Linked DNA regions of Ovis aries. The protein of the gene in region 2 interacts with the protein of the main gene of each other region in a pairwise test. Links are inferred from orthologs where the notes say so. Each region holds a gene or a part of one and is shown on either strand. Other genes may lie near its edges.

Region 1 (6,415 bases), on a different chromosome or scaffold from region 2:
TCCTTGTCCCGCTGGTTTGGGATCTGGGGCTCCTGTTACTGTTTGTGGGGCAGCACAGCCTCATGGCAACTGAGACCGTGAAGGAATGGATGTCCCGGTACTTTGGGGTCCTTCAGAGGTCACTGTACGTGGCATGCACTGCCCTGGCCTTGCAGGTATGAAGCCCTGGCAGCTGAGTCCTCAAGGGAAACAGCATGTGTGAAGGATGTCATTGATTGGAGCTGCAAGAACCTCAGGCTTCGGATAAAGTGTGGGTTTAGGAGGAGAACTGAGGGTGTTCAGGACTAGTCTCAGCTCCCGTTATTTCACAGCACACATTTCTCCTTTTTATCAAGAAGTATGTACTGCTTGTCATCCCCTACGCATGATGTGTGCATTCTCACCTTTGCAACTTCGTTCCTGTTGTCCCGCTTGAGAGTGCCTTGGTAACACCTCTTCAGTCTTATCCTTTCTTCAAAAGCACTTCCCTAGATCTCAAGAGAAAGCTTCCCGGTTAGTACTCACCTGTCTCCTCAGTGGGTGCTTGGCATAGGCTATTTTGTGTGCCTATGTGGTCACCCTCATCCATTCTCTAAGTCCTCAGAGTGGAGACAAGTCATTCTTACATCCTTAGGACCCCACCCAGCACCCTCCACATGGTGAACATGCTCATGATAGAGGTGGGGGGAACAGCTGGCCAGCCTGGACTGGAGGCAGCCCCTGGGTCTGGGTCTGTCAAGGGTGGGCTGCTGGGAAACCCAGTTCCTCTTCCTTCCTCAGCTGGTGATGCGGTACTGGGAGCCTGTGCCCAGGGGTCCTGTGTTGTGGGAGGCTCGGGCTGAGCCATGGGCCACTTGGGTGCCCCTCCTCTGCTTTGTCCTCCACGTCATTTCCTGGCTCCTCATCTTCAGCATCCTTCTCGTCTTCGACTACGCAGAGCTCATGGGCCTGAAACAGGTGAGGCTCCCAGATCCCTACCCAAGACATCTGATCCTTTCTAGAATACCTCTTTCCCCTCCAAGGATGTCCCTGTGCCTCCCATTGTCTTCCACCTGCCTCTTGTTTTTGAGCCCTTCACCTCCCTTTCTTATAAGACAGTCTCCCCCCAGCCCTCCCTCAAAGGCTAGGAATCATGGGCTTCTTGGGCCTGGGAAGGTTCATGGGCCAGAGATGAGGGTCAGGGACCTCCAGTCTCAGGAGGGTGGTTCCTGAGCCTGTCATAGAAGGAGGGTGCCCAGGACGGGAGGAAAGAGGCAGTTAAGTTGTGACAAGGGCTTGGCTCCATTCCTAAGCCATTCTCCCTCTGCTAGGTGTACTACCATGTGCTGGGGCTGGGCGAGCCTCTGGCCCTGAAGTCGCCCCGGGCTCTGAGACTCTTCTCCCACCTGCGCCATCCAGTGTGCGTGGAGCTGCTGACAGTGCTATGGGTGGTACCCACCCTGGGCACTGACCGCCTGCTCCTTGCTCTCCTCCTTACCCTCTACCTGGGCCTGGCTCACGGACTGGACCAGCATGATCTCCGCTATCTCCGGGCCCAGCTACAAAGAAAACTCCACCTGCTCTCCCGGCCCCAGGATGGGGAGGCCGAGTAAGGGGTTAACCCTGGTTGCAAGCCCTGTACTTCCTCTCTCCCTCCTATCCCAAATTCCCTTAACATCTAGGCCTTGGCTGCTTCAGACCAGAGGCCCAAATCCATGGACTGAAGGAGTGGTCCCTTTCCTTGCTTGAGCCTCCACTCCTTGGTTCCAGCTCCATACTGAATTTCAGCCATTGGACTCCAAGGGCCACTTCTCACCAGCCAGGAAGGAGTGGCTGGGAACTTCTTCTCACAGTTCAGGGCTTGACCCTCCGTTAACAATTTCCTCACCAAGAGAAGAGTCTGGCTTGACCACTCCCTTAGCCCTGTTACTACCCTCTGTGCCTCAGGGATCCTTTCTCCACGTCTAGCTCCCTCCCAGGGGCTGGACCGAGGCCCACTGTCTGGCCTTTTCAGCTCCCTAGGCCCCGACCCTAGGCTCCATCCTCCTGAACCTAGTTGAGCGGTTTCTCCCGTTCTTAGCTAAGGTGACTAGAGGCTCCCTGCTTTCCCGAGGAACTCACGCTACAGGAAAATAAAATTCAGTCTGGTTTTTCTACGTGTAGAATGCAGTCTGTCAGTGTCTCTCAAAGCTGCAGGGCTGGCTCTGGGAAAGGCGAGTTACATTGGAGTCTGGGCATCGGCCGCGCCTTCTGGTGACCGCTGGGCGGCGGCCACTCCCCGCGCACCCAGCCCTCCACCCCCTTCCCGGAGCACCCGGTCCCCCTTCCTCCAAATCTCCCAATTTCCTTGCTGCAGACCCGGGTGGGGGACGGGCTGAAACGGAAGAGTGGGGAGACGGTTCGGGTAAGGGAGCGAGCTTCCGAAACCGTTGTCTTCCCAGCCCTGCTCCTGTGGCCGCCCCCTCCCCACGGGCCCCGCAAGCGCCCCCACGGTAACAAAGGCTGGCCCGGGAAGGCAAAAGCGTGGGGAGGAGCGGCAGGAGATGGGAAGGGCGGGCCCGGCTCCGAGCAGCTGCCGCTTCCTCCCGAAGTCCCTCGAGGGGTCTGAGTCACGGGCCGCCGCCCCGGCTTGGCTAGCTGGGGGTGGGGGTCTGGACACCTGGGCTGTCCAGGGTTACCGGGCGGCAGCCGCGTGAGAGGCCCTGGGGAAGGACCGCGGAGTGCCGGGGATCGCGGCGGGAAAACAGGAGTCCCGGGGCCGAGGATCCACGCGGGGGACCCGGGGAGCGAGGCTCCGCCCCCGCGCCCGGCTCCGCCCAGCGCCCCCTTCCCTCTCCCCATTGTCCTCAGACAAAGCGGCGGCCGCCCCCCGCTCGGCCCCCGGGTCTGTCTCCGTCCCTCCCCTTCTCCTCCCTTCCCCCCTCCCGCGCCCCCCGCGCCCCCCCCCACCTCCTGCCCCGGATCTCCCTCTATCCCTCTCTCCTCCTCTTCCTCTCTCCTCCTCTCTCCGGACGTCAGGCTCCTTCGCACCCCCTCCCCCGGGAGCCCCGCGGCATGTGAGTTGACCCAGGGGCTTCAGACTTGGGGAGGGGGTGTCCCCTCCCTTCCGTCCCGGGCGCGGACCTCGGGCTGCCTCTCCTCTCTTTGTGCCGAGATTGCCCGTCAGTGCGGTCATAGCCGGGTGGGGACGGCTGGCGAGGTCGGGGTTCCATGAGCGCCGAGACCCCGGCGCGAGACTGGCCGGCTCCGGAGAGAAGCGGTGTGGAGCCGGTGCTCCGTACGCCTGAGGCGCTCGCTCGCCCGGGACCCCGGGGCATCGCCGGTGGGGGAGGCCGGCGGCGGGGCCCGGACCGGGTTAGGGTTGGTGGGGGGTGGACGCCAGGGTTCTGGGAACGAGCTGGCAGCTCCGATCGCCGGGTTCCGAAAGTCCCCGGGGGAGGGTATTTCCCCTGGCCCGCCCCGGGGCGGAGTGCAGGGCGGAGGGGTGGGGGCTGGGGGGTCTGAGAGGCGTGGCTCAAGCGGAGCTGGAAGGGGAGCCCGGACCTCCGGGGCCCGCGCCGAGACTCGCCCGGCTACAGCCGCCGAGCTCCCTCGCCCCTCTGCCCCCGATTCCCCCTTCTCCCCTGGACCTGTCCACTCTCCGCCCTCCCACCTTCCCGACACCCCTTCAGGTCCCACTGCCCCCTCTCCGCCGGGGATCCCGCTGACCTCGCTTCCCACTCCCGCCGCTCCTGAGGTAGCGGTCAGGCAACCTCGGTCGGATCCTGCCCCGCTCACCCCCAGCCTCTCTTCTCTCTTCTCCCTCGTGCCAGCTTCTTTCGTTTTTCCCTCTTCTCACAACCTGGGGACTGTCTCTGATGCCCAGTAACCTGTACCCACAAATCTGACTCCTGTCTCTTTGCCCTGAATCTCCACTGTTCCTCTCGACCCACCTCCCCCAACCCCATCACCTGGCTCTTAGTTTCCTCTTCACTTTCTCAGGTTTTCCCCTTTCTCTGCTCCCCTCCGCCGCCCCCTTTCCTACTGTCCTCACCCTCAGCTCCTCTGTGACCCACCTCTCCCCCTGCTTCCTCTCCCCCACCCCCATTCTCACCTCCTGGGCCCCTCTGGAGCCTCTCCTTCCTGTTCTCTGCCCCCCAGCGTTCCCCCACCCTCCCCAAGGCGACCATGGCCACCATCCCAGACTGGAAGCTACAGCTGCTAGCCCGGCGCCGGCAGGAAGAGGCAGCCGTTCGCGGCCGTGAGACGGCAGAGCGGGAGCGGCTGTCGCAGATGCCAGCCTGGAAGCGGGGCCTTCTGGAGCGCCGCCGGGCCAAGCTTGGTCTGTCTCCTGGGGAGCCTAGCCCTGCGCCTGGGACTACGGAGGCTGGACCTCCAAACCCAGACGAGTCTGCTGTCCTCCTGGAGGCCATTGGGCCTGTGCACCAGAACCGATTTATCCGGCAAGAGCGCCAGCAGCAGCAGCAGCAGCAGCAGCAGCAGCAACAGCAGCGGAGTGAAGAGCTACTCACGGACAAACGGCCTGGACCTTTGGAGACCCGGGGGCGGAGACCCAGCCCCGGGGAGACACGGGATCCCAGCCCCAAGGGAAGAGAGTCCAGGGAAGAGCGGCTCAGTCCTAGGGAGGCCAGAGAGAAGAGGCTGGGGATAGGGGGCGCTCGAGAGTCGAGCCCCAGGCCTTTGGAGTCTCGGGACTGGAGGCAGAGCCCAGGAGAGGCTGGAGACAGGAGCTCTAGACTGTCAGAGGTGCGGAAATGGAGGCTGAGCCCTGGAGAAACTCCTGAGCGGAGTTTGAGACTGGCAGAGCCCCGAGAACAAAGCCCCAGGAGAACAGAGGTGGTGGACAGTAAACGGAGCCCCGAAGAGTCTGACAACCAGAAGCTGGGCCTGACAGACTCCCATAAATGGAGGCCTGACCCCAAAGAGTCTCCGGGACAGAGTTTGGGACAACTGGAGGCATCAGAGTGGAGGCCGAGTTCAGGAGAAGAAAGAAAAGACTGCTCAGAGGAATGGGGGAGAAAAGACGAGAGGCCGATTCCAAGAATGGACCCAGAAGGGACCACAGCGTCGTCAGAGACCCCAACAAGGGAGGCTCCAGACAGTCGCTCTGCAGGACCAGAGGGAGCAGAAGAAAGGCCCAGCCCCGTAGAGGATGGCGAGAGGGGCCTGCGGCCCCCGGAAGGATGGAAATGGACCCTGAACTCTGGGAAGGCCCGAGACTGGACACCCAGGGACACAGAGCCTCAGCCCCAGAAACCAGACACTCCAGAGTCTGTTGAGAAGCACGTGGGTCCTTTGGGTGCAGAGGCTGAGAAGGAGGAGGCGGGCGCTCAGAGCAGGCCTCTGGGCGCCCTGCAGGACCGCTGCTCTGCGCCCTCCCCCCTCTCCCCAGAGGACGCCGGGACTGGAGCCTCTAGACGGCAGGAAGAGGAAGCAGGGGAACTCCGGCCCCCACCCGCAGCCCCTCTGTCTCCCCCACCCCCAGCCCCACCTGCCCCCCAGTCCCTTGGGGATCCCCTCATGAGCCGGCTCTTCTACGGGGTGAAGGCAGGGCCAGGGGTGGGGGCCCCCCGCCGCAGCGGACACACCTTCACAGTCAACCCCCGGCGGTCCGCGCCCCCTGCAGCCCCTGCCACTCCAGCCGCCCCAGCCACAGCTGACACGGCGGTCCCTGGGGCTGGGAAGAAGCGGTACCCGACTGCCGAGGAGATCTTGGTTCTGGGGGGCTACCTCCGCCTCAGCCGCAGCTGCCTTGTCAAGGGGTCCCCTGAAAGGCGCCACAAACAGGTAGGGAGCAGCCAACCCAGACTTCTTGGCCAGCCCCCCATCACTGCTCTGTGGACTCCTGTCTCTCTCCCTTTTTTTATACCTCTGTATCCTTGTCTTCATCTATTCTTGTTCATTCCTGCTGCCACCCTTCCTCCCCTGAACACACACCCTTCCTTCTTGTGGCCCTTCTTTTCCATTCATTTCCCAGCCCAAGGAGCCTGCTCCGCAATCAGGCTCGCTGTCCTGGGTGTGTCTCTCTCAGGGTGTGCCCAGGCTCCTCACTCTTCTCTCCCTCAGGCTCTGAGTTCACCCCCCCATGCTTTCCATTCCCGAGTCTCTGACCCAGCCCAGCCCATCTGGGTGGGAGACCAGAATTGAGGCCACAGCCTGGAATCTATGGGGGCAGGGTCTGCAGGGCAAAAGTGGGCAAAAGAATGCTGGGGTAGGAAGCCTGGGGAGGCAGAGGGGTTCGGGTTTTAGGGAGAAATGGCAGGGAGAAGCGAGTGGAGGAACATCTCACAGACCCAAGGAAGGGGGGGCTGCAGAGCGGAGTGGGGACATCCTAGGATAGTGGGGGAGGGGAGTGGAACAGGGGCTAGCCAAGGAGCAGAGAGAAGGCTTTTGAACCCCGAGTCTGCCCCATGGGAGAGATGCACACAGAGGCCATTTGAAGTGGGTGACCTCGGGG
Region 2 (6,133 bases):
GTAGATAGACCTGACTTTGGAGTCATATTTGCAGTCAGTATTGATCAATTGAGTCACTTGATTCCTGGATGCCTTATATAATCTTGGATAATAGCCATTCTATTACAGACATTATTAGAAACTAAGAGCTCTCAAAGGACCACTGTAGGCTTGAGAACTGAGGTCTAATTATCGTCCTGTTTGTTCATTAGTTGATCCATGAACAAAGGAGTTATGCTACAGCCAGGAGCTTGGGTGGGATGATGGAAGTTGGGAGCTCTTAACTGCCAACCAGGAAATAGGGAATTACAATGGGAACTTACATTTGACAAAGTGAAAGTGAAAGTGAAGTCGCTCAGTCATGTTCGACTCTTTGTGACCCCCATGGACAGTAGCCTGCACCAGGCTCTTCCGTCCATTGGAATTTCTAGGCAAGAGTACTGGAGTGGGTTGCCATTTCCTTCTCCAGGGAATCTTCCCGACCTGAATCTTCTCAGATGCTTTACAGTCTGAGCCACCAGGGAGTACCTACCATAGACGACCCCATAGACGGCAGCCCACCAGGCTCCCCCGTCCCTGGAATTCTCCAGGCAAGAGTACTGGAGTGAGTTGCCATTTCCTTCTCCAATGCATGAAAGTGAAAAGTGAAAGTGAAGTCATTCAGTCGTGTCTGACTCTTCGCGACCCCATGGACTGCAGCCTTCCAGGCTCCTCCGTCCAGGGGTTTTCCAGACAAGAGTACTGCAGTGGGATGCCAGTGCCTTCTCCGAATGATTTTTATTAGACTTCCCTGGTGGCTCAGACGGTAAAGCGTCTGTCTACAACGCAGGAGACCTGGGTTTGATCCCTGGGTCAGGAAGATTCCCTGGAGAAGGAAATGGCAATCCACTCCAGTACTCTTGCCTAGAAATTCCAATGGACGGAAGAGCCTGGTGCAGGCTACTGTCCATGGGGTCGCAAAGAGTCAGACACGACTGAGCGACTTCACTTTCACTTTTCGCTTTCACAGATGGGGAAATTGACGTACTGAGATTCTAAGTAGCTAGCTCTAGGCCACACAGTATGTAGTGCATATTCAGTCAATTATGGGATACTCTACTGCTTTTGGGCTTTCCAGGTGGCAAAGAATCCATCTGCTAATGCAGGAGATGCAGGTTTGATCCCTCCATCAGGAAAATCCCCTGGAGGAGGAAATACCATTCTAGTATTCTTGTTTGGAAAATCCCATGGACAGAGGAACTTGGTAGGCTACAGTTTATGGGGTCATAAAGAGTTGGACGCAACTAAGCAACTGAACACACACACACATTGCCCTTTTCTACCATATTTCTTCCCCTAATTTAGCAATCTAGGATTGTGAATTATATACCAGGGTTTAATAGAGGAGGATCCAAAAGAAAAGTATTTAACAGCAGTACTTTAAGTATTTAACAGCAGTACTTCCTGTTTTACTCCTTTTCTTCATGATACTATGTGATTTAGATGCAGAAAATTTTGAAGAGGGAAAAGAAATTATTTTTAGAAATCTCATCTTTTCCATAGTAAATAATGACTAATCTGAGACTCTCAGGGTTGCGAGGAAGCTCTGTTAGTGTTCCCAGATTTGAAGCCATAATCTCTTCTCTTCATCTTGTTAGCCAGCTCTGCATCTGGCTTGACTGAGATGTACAGGGCTTAAAAAAGGGGTATGTGAGGCAAGATGTGGGAGGCTTGTTAATGTTTTGATATGGGGTGTCTCCAAATATGGAGACATCATGTCTAACACTGCTGTCTCTGAGTGGAGATTTCAGCAGAGGCCAACTCCTTCCTTGCAAGCATCACCCATAGATTTAGCTGGAATCAAACATATTCATATATATATATTATACACCATCAATGAAATCATTTGTTTGGAGATGGGTAGGTGCCATGCCCTTGCTGTGAACCTGCAGGGGAGTCATTGGGTATTTTTCTTAAGACTTGACAAGGGCAGGGCAGCAGAAACATATCTTGGAACTCAGGGTTTTTCAGTCTCAACTTCTGATATTTCTGACCTTTGCTACTCTTGAATATCAGTGGGCAACATTGTTTATTTTACTTCCTTTTCTTTCCTTTCTTCCTCTCTCCTTTTTTTTTCTTTCGAAGACCTGCTCTCCTCTTTTCTGTAACCCTCACCATCTGCACTCTTCCCGTAGTAACTGCAGTATGTTTTAGTATTGCACTATACTCCCTCACTCTCAGTGATTCTCACCCAGCCCTCTGAACTGCATTCCCAGAACTTCATGTACAGACTGTGCCTGGAAGCTCAGGCTCTACATCCGTTCTGCGACGGCTCTGCGATTTACGTCCTTTGATTTACGTCACTTTGGGGGAGGAGCTTTCCTAGCGTCTCTTGTTCTCTTCTTCGACGACGACTCGACTCGCACTGTGGACTCGGAGGAGCACGGTGGCGTCGGCTTTGCCGGCTGATGTGAGTGATTTTTTTTTTTTGGTTGGAAGTGCTAGAGGAGGGTCAGGTACAAGTTAGTTGGGTGGTTTCTAATTAGCGAGGAGATGCTGCCGTTAGGTTACCACTTAAAAATATTTATTTTAATCAGAGGATCATTACCTTACAATATTATGATGGCCTCTGCCAGACATTAACATGAATCGGCCATAGGCAAATACTTTTTAAAGTGGTTCTAAGGCAGTGATTTTGAACTATGGAACTGACTCTTGGGTGAAGGAAGGTGGGCAAAAGGCAGGGTTTGGGGACATGGATGAAGTATGGACAGTGGTGTGGGGCCACCGAAAGTGGGAGATACTTATTGTAGTTCGAATGTGAAGGACTTAAAATTCGGTTGAAGCTGCATGGTTAGTGACTGTTGGGGGCAGGGAGCTGCATGGCTCGTGACCGTTGGGGGCAGGGAGCTGCATGGCTCGTGACCGTTGGGGGCAGGGAGCTGAGGCGCTAGCTGGGTCTGCAGAGAGCGGGAAAAAGGACGGTCAGTGATTGGATGCTTTGAAGGTATGAGCGCCAAGAGTGGGAGATTTTGAACCAATTAGAGGAGGCAACAAGAAGATAGACCAATCACAGGGTAACCCAAGCCCGGGGCGGAGGGGGAGGGCGGTTTTTGTGTCACGGGGCAGATTGTCCGAAGACTCGAGGTAAAAATATTCTCAGCCGAGTTCACGTCGCAGGAGCTTGACCCTGGCCTTCGTTAACTGCTATTTCTGGGTTTAAAAACTTCCTCAGCATTTTTTCTTTTGGAATAGAACTGAGAGGAAAAATTTGAAAAGAAATTTATTGCGACGCTGGAGAATAAAGGACAGAATATTAAAATATTTTCTTATTTCATAGGCCTGAGCCAGAGATTCCAAAATGGACAGCAATGATTTTCGTTTCATGGACTTTAAAGGTATCTAGCTTTACACTAGAAAATGTAAAAATAGTAAAGAAAATGTTTAACTATTTGCTGCCTTATCTAAGATCATCTGAATATATTTTGTTTCCTAATTTTGTCTCTTCAGAGTATTCGTAGCTCCAAGTTTCCTCATTTACGTATTGGAAAACAATGTTAATGTTTAAGACACTGGAATCCTTTTATAAACTAGTGTAGGGAAATAGAATTTCACAATTTATAGCTTGTTTTCTCGGGATTGTTGTGCGTGCATAGTAACACTGGTTTAATCTGAAATAGAAATCTGTGTTAAAAGGACATTTAAAAAATTACTGCTAGATCCTGAAGTACCTGTCCATAATCATCAGTGAAAAATAAATTATATCTTGTGTAGCATTAGGTTTAAGTGCATTTTATTGTATCTTAATTCTTTTGAAAATTGGTACTCAATGGATGATATTTGTGGGAATTCTTAGTTAAAAAAGCAGTTCAATTGACTAGAAAACCAGATTCCGCAACCATGCCAGGTATGGGAGAGTTTACCGTATTTCTTTTTTGCGGGGACATGATTAGACCTATGGTATATTTGCATTCATGTTCATATAATAATGAAATACGTCATAACCAGATTGGCTACAAATCTGTGATTTAAAAAAGTTTAGGTCAGTGTTTTGTTAATGCTTATCATTTTACAACAACAACAAAGCCCACTACCACTTAACCTTAAGTTTTAATTTAGGATATGCTATTTTAGGGCTTCGCTTGTGGCTCAGCTGGTAAAGAATCCGCCGGCAACTTGGGAGAACTTGGTTCGATCCCTGGGTTGGGAAGATCCCCTGGAGACAGGAATGGCTATCCACTCCAGTGTTCTGGCCTGGAGAATTCCATGGACTGTATAGTCCATGGGGTCACAAAAAGTTGGACAGGACTGAGTGACTTTCACTTTCATCTTAAGGGTTAAAAACATTGAATAGGGATTATTACTTTTAAATATATTGTATTTGAGACCTGGTATTTACATAAATATTTGAAGCACACAGAAAAGTTTAAGAATATAGTGAAGACCTGTAAAACTACCACTAAGTTTTGTTGAATCTTCATATTTTGCCACATACTTCTAAAAGATTGTGCTTAGTTGCTCAGTTTTGTCTGACTCTTTGCGACCCCATGAACTGTAGCCTGCCAGGCTCCTCTGTCCATGGGAATTATCTGGGCAAGAATATTGGAGTGGGTTGTGATACCCTCTTCTAGGGGATCTTCCCAACCTACGGATTGAACCCAGGTCTCCTGCCTTGCAGGTGGATTCTTTACCATCTGAGCCCCCAAGGACGCTCTCTAAAAGATTAAGGTGCCTTTTTTTCATCTTTGAAATATTACATAAATTGCATCATTTTATATGATTTTTTTTCCTGCAAGTTGTATTTTTTTTTTTTGCTCTGTATTATATTTTGGATATTTACCCATACAGATATTTTAGTTCTAGTTCATTTATTTACACTGCTTATTAGTATTATTACACTGACTATAAGTGTACCACAATTTATTTATCTAATCTCAACAGCATTACAACATTGTGTTTTGAAGAGTTTATCAGGAGCTTTCAAACATTTTTGACTACCACCAACACCTATGGAAAGGAAATATATTTTCCATCACATCTTGGTATATACACACTGTATCAAAAGTTTAATGAAATCATTTTACCCTTATTACATACAGTGCATGTGTATGTAATATTTTCTATTCTATGCTTTTTGAATGATATTTTCTATTCTATGCTTTCTCTTTTAAAAATGTAAATGTTGGTTATGACTCATTAAATTAATTTATTTCTTGAACACTAGTGGATGAAGCTCTAGGGCAGTGCTGTACAATTGAAACATAGTGCAAATGTAAAGAATTTTGTATTTTTTGTACCACATTAAAAAAGCTTAAACAGATGAAATCAATTTTAACAATATAAATTATTTAGCTCAGTATATCCAAAATGCTATCATTTCAACATGTAATCAATATAAAAATTATTAATGAAATAGTTTACATTCTTTTTCTTTTCTATTCAAAATCATTGAAGTCTAGTATGTATTTTATACTTAAAGCATGTCTCATTTTGGACTTGCCACATTTCAAGTGCTCATATGGCTAGTGGCTACCCTGTAGTGGCAGTGCTACTCTGGATTGTAATTAAGAACTTGAACTGCTGGGTGAAATGCTGTAAGCATCTTTAACTTAACAAATATTGCTGAATCGTTGTCAAAAGTAGGTTGAACAATTTATACTGCCTCTTCCTTTCTCTTTCCCTATTGTTCTTTCTAATATTTGCTTTTGTCAGACTTAAAAAATTGTGCATGATTGAAGGGTGGTGTTGTTTTTAAGTAACATTTTATTTTAGGACAGTTTTAGATTTACAGAGTAGTTACAGAGAGAGTATAGAGAGTTCTTAGATACTCCTCAGCCAGTTCCATTTGCTCTAATGTTTTACATTGCTCTAATGTATTACATGGATGTTTTAATTTGCATATCTGTTAAGTAGCAAAGTTGGGTATATTTTCATATATTTTCCATTTGAGTTTTATCTTCTGTGTGCATAACCTTTTCAGTCAAGTTTTATAAAATTGGATCACAAAAGGCCATATGATGGCTTAGCTTATTTTCTTCTCAGGGAGAATTGACATAACATCTGTCTTTTTATATCAACAATTCTAGTCAGTTTCAAGGCCAAAAAGGAACAGAAATTGGTCTAAATTATACTCATTGTGTCTAAATAATTGTAACTCCTTTTCTGCATGTCAGCT
Region 3 (5,771 bases), on a different chromosome or scaffold from region 2:
GAAGCACACAGAGCAGTACAGGACTTACTCCCTGCCCTTGAGGGGCTTCCAGTCTAGGTGGAGACAGAAGAAACAGGACGTATGGGAGCCAGGAGAAAACAGTCCAGGCCAGGATGCTACAGGAGCTGGAAGGCATCTGGGCTCAGGCCCACCAAGAGGTTCCGCGCCAGGAAAGACAATGACTCACAGCTCCCAGACCCATATTTGCCCACTTAGCATATCCTATCCACAGCCTCTGTTCCCGCCATCTGACTCCTTCAGCTGTTATTCAAAGTGCAATGAAATGGGGGAAGGGGTGGGGCCAATGGAAAAAGTCCTTGGACGAGTTCCAGGGGCTGGTGTCACACTGTCCCTCCTGGAAAAATCTGCTCCTCACCCACCTACCCCTAACACAGAGAGATCCCCATTCAAGGAGGCCTGCCTGACCACCCAGGACCCCCCACCCCAAGAGCTAAGAGCAGGGGGCAGTCGCTGCTTGAGGTAGAACTGGGGAACCCTATGTCTAGCATGTCCTTTCCTCCACCAGTCCACTGAGTTGGGGGTTAGGGCACCCCCTCAGAGCTGCCACCCAGGGCTGAGAAGATACTAAAGGGAAAGGGCATGGAGGAAGGGAGAGGAGCAGAGAGGGACTGAGAGCCTGGCTGGGAAACAGGGGCCTCTGGGGCTCCTGGAAAAATGCAGGGGACAGGGAAGCCAAACACTGAGATTGGCTCCCCTGAGGATGGGGGTGGGGGGGTGGGAGGCAGGGGTGGTTTGCTACGGGCCCCTACCTTCCCCATGCCTTCACAGGACGGAGGTGGGAATCAAGGGCCAGAAGGGTGTCCAATCCCGCAGCCCCATTTCCAGGCTGTGCCCACTTCAGGGTCACCCTGCCCAACCTTAGAGGGGCAAGGGGAACCCAAAGTTTTGATGATGCCTCCAACTCTGTTGGGCCCCCTTCAAAGTGCTATCTATTTACTTCTCAGATTGTAAGGAATTCAGGTCTGAGAATGCAGGAAAGAGGGGGCGAGACTTCGTAACACCCATCAGATGGCAGGGGGGAGGGAACCAGGCCCCTCCAGAGAGTGCCACCCAGAGGATGGGGGTCACGCCAGCCTCAGAGGAGCGAGGACGAGGAAAGCAAAGGATGCTGCTGCTGCTGCTAAGTCACTTCAGTCGTGTCCGACTCTGTGTGACCCCATAGATGGCAGCCCACCAGGCTCCCCCGTCCCTGGGATTCCCCAGGCAAGAACACTGGAGTGGGTTGCCATTTCCTTCTCCAATGCATGAAAGTGAAAAGTGAAAGTGAAGTTGCTCAGTCGTGTCCAGCTCTTAGCGACCCCATGGACTGCAGCCTACCAGGCTGCTCCGCCCATGGGATTTTCCAGGCAAGAACACTGGAGTGGGTTGCCATTTCCTTCTCCAATGCATGAAAGTGAAAAGTGAAAGTGAAGTTGCTCAGTCGTGTCCAGCTCTTAGCGACCCCATGGACTGCAGCCTACCAGGCTGCTCCGCCCATGGGATTTTCCAGGCAAGAGTGCTGGAGTGGGGTGCCATTGCCTTCTCCGAGCAAAGAATGAGGAGGGTTTAAATAACGGTTCATATAATAAAAATACCTAGCAATCTAATAAGCCTATTTTTTCTGCTAATTTTTTTCTTTTTTAAATAATTCCAGAGGCTGGGGGTGTGGGAAGGGTGGCAGCAAGCAGGGTATGTACAAGAGGAGGCGTTTAAATTAAAACACAAATAATAATTAAGACGCACAAACTGAAGGACCAAGGCAAAAGGTACAGAAGAGGCCTGCAGTGGGCCCCTGTTTCCACGAGGACGTGCTTCCAGCAGCGGGGTTAGGGCTTCCTCTTGGAGCAGATCAGCCTGCGTTTGGAGTGGTAGAAATCTGGGGGGAGAGAACAGATGTCAGCCAGGTCAGGAGGAAGAGGGCCCAGCAGAGCCACCTGCGCAGTGCAACCTGCAGAGGGGCCAGGGACCCCTCCCCAGGGCCCGAGAGACACATTGCCAAGTATAGGGAAGAACTCTGGAAACTTCTAGCCTCTCTCCCGGAGGGCTACATACATACAGGACATCCCCCCACGCTTCACAGACGTGATCAATAACAGACTTTACATGCATGGGCCTGCTTTAAGCCAAGCTGCCCAAATGCAGTGGTCGCTAACCCTAGGCGGCTGTTTAAATTAACTAGCATTAGACTAATAGAAAAATTTAGTTCCTCATGGCAAACACTCAGCAGTGATATGTGGCCAGCGGTACTGGGCATCTGCTTCTTTGCAGAGCCTGATATATCAGAGAGCGTTCTGCATGATGTCTGAGCCATATAAAGGTTAGTTATTATTATTATCATTATTGTTAGTTTTGACCCAGCTGCAAATGTGCTGTGGGATTCTTGGCTGCACTGCTCCAAGCTTCCATTTCCTCACCTATAAAATGAGGATAACGCTGGTACGATGCTCAGAGGATTAAATGAAATGTTTCCGGAAAGACCTTGGTGGGGACTTCCCTGGTGGTCCAGTGGCTAAGACTCCTTGCGCTCAACAGAGGTGGCCTGGGTTCTGTCCTTGCTCAGGGAATTAAGATCCCACAAGCCGTACAGCCAAAATAATAACAGTAATACATTTGTAAAGTAAAAAATAAAAAGACGTTGGCTGAAGGCCTGGCATAGTGTTCAACTGCCAGCCTCACTTATTCCATTTCCCTCAAGCACCTACTATGTGTCACACACCATCCAAGGTGCTGAGGACTCAATTATGAACAAGAGAGATACAGATTTCTTTCTTGTGGAGATGATAGGATTCTATTTGGGAAGATGGACTATATCAAAATATGGAAGTAGCTGTTGATAGTTTAAAAAGTGCCAAAAAGAGAAAAATAGGCTAGGAAGTGCAGGTGAAGGTGTGTATGTATGAAGGGGAAGGCGAGTTAGGTTTGGATAAGGCAGCCAGGAAATTATCATTCATTTACTCTCCATGGTAAATTCAGTGTGGGACCTAAGGCAAACCATTCTACCTCTCAGAGTCCTGTTCCTTTGCCTGTAAAAGGATGCCAAGAATGTCCTATGATATTAGATCACTATAAGGACTAAAAGAAATCTAGACACTTATCAAAGGTCCTGGCACATAGTCAATGTTCCAAATAAATGTCAGCTAATTGGTCTTGGTAGTAGACTTGCTGTGTGACCTCAGGCAAGCCACTTCCCCTCTCTGGGCCTGTTTCCCACCCCTCAGAGCGATGAGTAAGCTGGGCCAGACAGGTCAGCCCTGGCACAGTGAGTTCTGGGAGTCCTAATCCCTTGCCGCCACCTCTGCTCCCGTCCTCACCTGTCATGCTGGTCTGGCGCCGTTTCCGGCCCTGGGAGGGACCAGGCCCACCAGGGGTCCCCTCGGGCCGCTCAGGGGAGCGAGTCACGAGGGTGCAGGACAGCGACAGGTCCAAGTGGTCCTCCTGAGACGTGCCCTGCAGCAGGGCGGATGAGGGGCTCGGCCGCTTGCCCCCTCCCACATCGTCTCGGGGCCCCACGGGCAGGTAGAGCTTGGGCAGGCCGAGGCCCCTCACACGCTCCCAGGCAAAGTCCCCCTCCAGGGGCGTCTCGGTGACAAAGTCGAAGTTCCATCGCTCTCGGGCCTCCTGCACGCAGCTGGCCATGAGGGCGTCGCAGTCCTGGCGCAGCTGCTCGCTGTCCACTGGACCAAAGAGGCAGCGGCAGGCCTTGCTGCTGCGGGGGATCTGATGCGCGTCCCTGGACGGCTCAGACATGGCACCTGTGGCTGGAACACAAGGAAGACCCGGGGCACGTGAGACACTCAGGAAGTCGGACGCTCCCTCTCTGGGCCATGCCACTGCGTAACCTCAGGCGCAGTCTCCTTACTAGAAAGTGAGGTGAGAGGGGCTCTCGGGTTCCTCCCACAGGCTCTCCCAACCTCCACCCACAGAAAGGGTGTGAGGGGCAGAGTCAGTCAGCCTGACACCCCCAGGTCACTGGGGGAGTGGGCAGCTGAAGGGCAAGTTTATGTCAACAAAGGCAAGTTTATTGCAATAGCAGGGATCAGGGTCCTGTTTACCACTGGGTGTTATCAGCTAAAATCAATTTGTTTTTCCCACTGAGGTGTCCCTCATGGGTGTGAATGCCCCCAGGTATGTGTGAATTGTCAGAGTCCAGCAGTTTCCTAACTCCAGGCCTGGCCGGGGAGGTCAATTCCCAAGAAAATGGATGCCTCCTCTCAAATCCCTCCATCTAGATGCTCATGTGGAGTAATCCTGCTCAGTGACTTAAAACTACTCTGGATTTTGGGGTTAAAAGCACCTGGGTTCTAGTCCTCGCTCTGCCACTTCCTACCTCAACTTTCAAAGAGTCACTTCAAGTCCCCCGGCCTCAGTTTCCTCATCTGTAAAATGGGACTGCATACATGTCTAAAGAGTGGGGCTGTAGACGCAGGCTCAAGGAAATGATTGGCGGGCCCCGCCAGGCAAGGCAGATGGAGCAGAGTTCAACGGCTGTATCTTGGTGGTTCAAGGTGAGGGCTTTGGAACCAGGCCACTTGGGTTGGAATCCAGGCTCTGCTGGGCAACCTTCGACAAGTGGCTTAACTTCTCTGGGTTCTGTTTTCCTCCTGTATAAGATGGAGATTTCCATGTGTAGAGTTGTCTCTTGTGTATGTTGGACGAGGGTGTTTGCTGTAACTAGTGCGTTCCCTTGGCAAAACTCCATTTGCCCTGCTTCACTTTGTACTCCAAGGCTAAACTTGCCTGTAACTCCAGGTACCTCCTGAGTTCCTACTTTTACATTCCAGTCGCCTATGATGAAAGGGACATCTATTTCTGGTGTCATTTCTAGAAGGAGATAACAACAGCGACTGTCTCAGAGGCCAGATGTGAGAATTCGCTAAGCGGTTGTAGATAACGCCCTCTGAGCCGTACCAAGTACAGAGAAAGTGTTTGGAGAATATTATTTCTCTCTGCCTTTAGTTCTGGCTGACTCCTCCCCATCACTCCACCTGGGCCACCGCCTCCTTCAGACAGCAGCTGACAGGTGTTGTGGGCTGAGGGCCTTTCCCAAGGATGTCATCAGGCAGGCAGCCTGCGGGTAAGGAGGAGCCAGGCAGGGCAGGGCAGAGCAATGATTTCTCCCAGGCTGAGCCACATCCTGCCAGGTACATCAGGTGACCTGAAGTCTAGACAACCTGGAAGCCCCTGCCCCATTCTGCCTGCATCCAAGGAACCCGTTTTGCAGGCAAAGAAAATTAAAGGCACCGGTCTACCTGGCTCCTCTCCTCCCACTAAAGTGGGAGAGGGAAAACTAAAGGAGAGGGAACACTGAAGGTGAGCCTGCCCATGAGGGGGTGCTGGCACCTCCCTGCCCGGCTCTGGCTTGACTCCAGGTCTGAGCACCTGCATGACTTTAACAGGGACTGGGTTTTCCTGGGGACACGTCCTGATTTGCAGGCTCTGAAGGTGAAAGCCCTGCTGAGGGTCCTCCTGGGGCAAGCAGCCCTGGACCCACACCATACCTACCTGTCCCCACTCCACCTCTCACAGTGAGTGAAGCCCACAGCTCCAAGTCTCAGCACACAGGGGAGGGGAGGGCACTAGATGACCTCTGACCGAGTTTAAAGGGCAGGAGTTTTAAGACTTGCCCTGAACCCACACGGTTAAAAAGATCAATAGCGTCTACTCAAGCTGCCACATACCACATAGAGAGAGGGGTTACACAGCACAGTGGACAAAGCCCATAAATAACCTTTGCTCACTCTCTTCAGGGATAAGGACTGAGACTTATTTAC

Evidence for each region.
Region 1: the proteins of TEX11 (region 2) and PPP1R18 interact in binary tests that used the Homo sapiens proteins (3 or more experiments, as listed by UniProt). The two-hybrid records come from large-scale screens. The link is inferred for Ovis aries from reciprocal best matches to the Homo sapiens genes TEX11 and PPP1R18.
Region 3: the proteins of TEX11 (region 2) and CDKN1A interact in binary tests that used the Homo sapiens proteins (3 or more experiments, as listed by UniProt). The link is inferred for Ovis aries from reciprocal best matches to the Homo sapiens genes TEX11 and CDKN1A.

What each region holds. Positions count from the first base shown.
Region 1 is NC_056073.1:27,437,483-27,443,897, forward strand, and holds the start of PPP1R18 (phostensin), read left to right. Parts: upstream 1-2,289; 5' UTR 2,290-2,362; exon of another isoform or gene 2,363-3,014; intron 3,015-4,098; 5' UTR 4,099-4,125; coding exon 4,126-5,745; intron 5,746-6,415. Other genes in the region: NRM (nurim), read left to right, coding at 1-155, 760-936, 1,290-1,571.
Region 2 is NC_056080.1:63,637,907-63,644,039, reverse strand, and holds the start of TEX11 (testis-expressed protein 11), read left to right. Parts: upstream 1-2,364; 5' UTR 2,365-2,428; intron 2,429-3,298; 5' UTR 3,299-3,319; coding exon 3,320-3,356; intron 3,357-6,133. UniProt on the Homo sapiens protein: Regulator of crossing-over during meiosis. Involved in initiation and/or maintenance of chromosome synapsis and formation of crossovers.
Region 3 is NC_056073.1:10,679,052-10,684,822, reverse strand, and holds CDKN1A (cyclin-dependent kinase inhibitor 1), read right to left. Parts: upstream 3,748-5,771; coding exon 3,312-3,747; coding exon of another isoform or gene 3,115-3,311; exon of another isoform or gene 1,877-3,114; coding exon 1,827-1,876; downstream 1-1,826. UniProt on the Homo sapiens protein: Plays an important role in controlling cell cycle progression and DNA damage-induced G2 arrest. Involved in p53/TP53 mediated inhibition of cellular proliferation in response to DNA damage.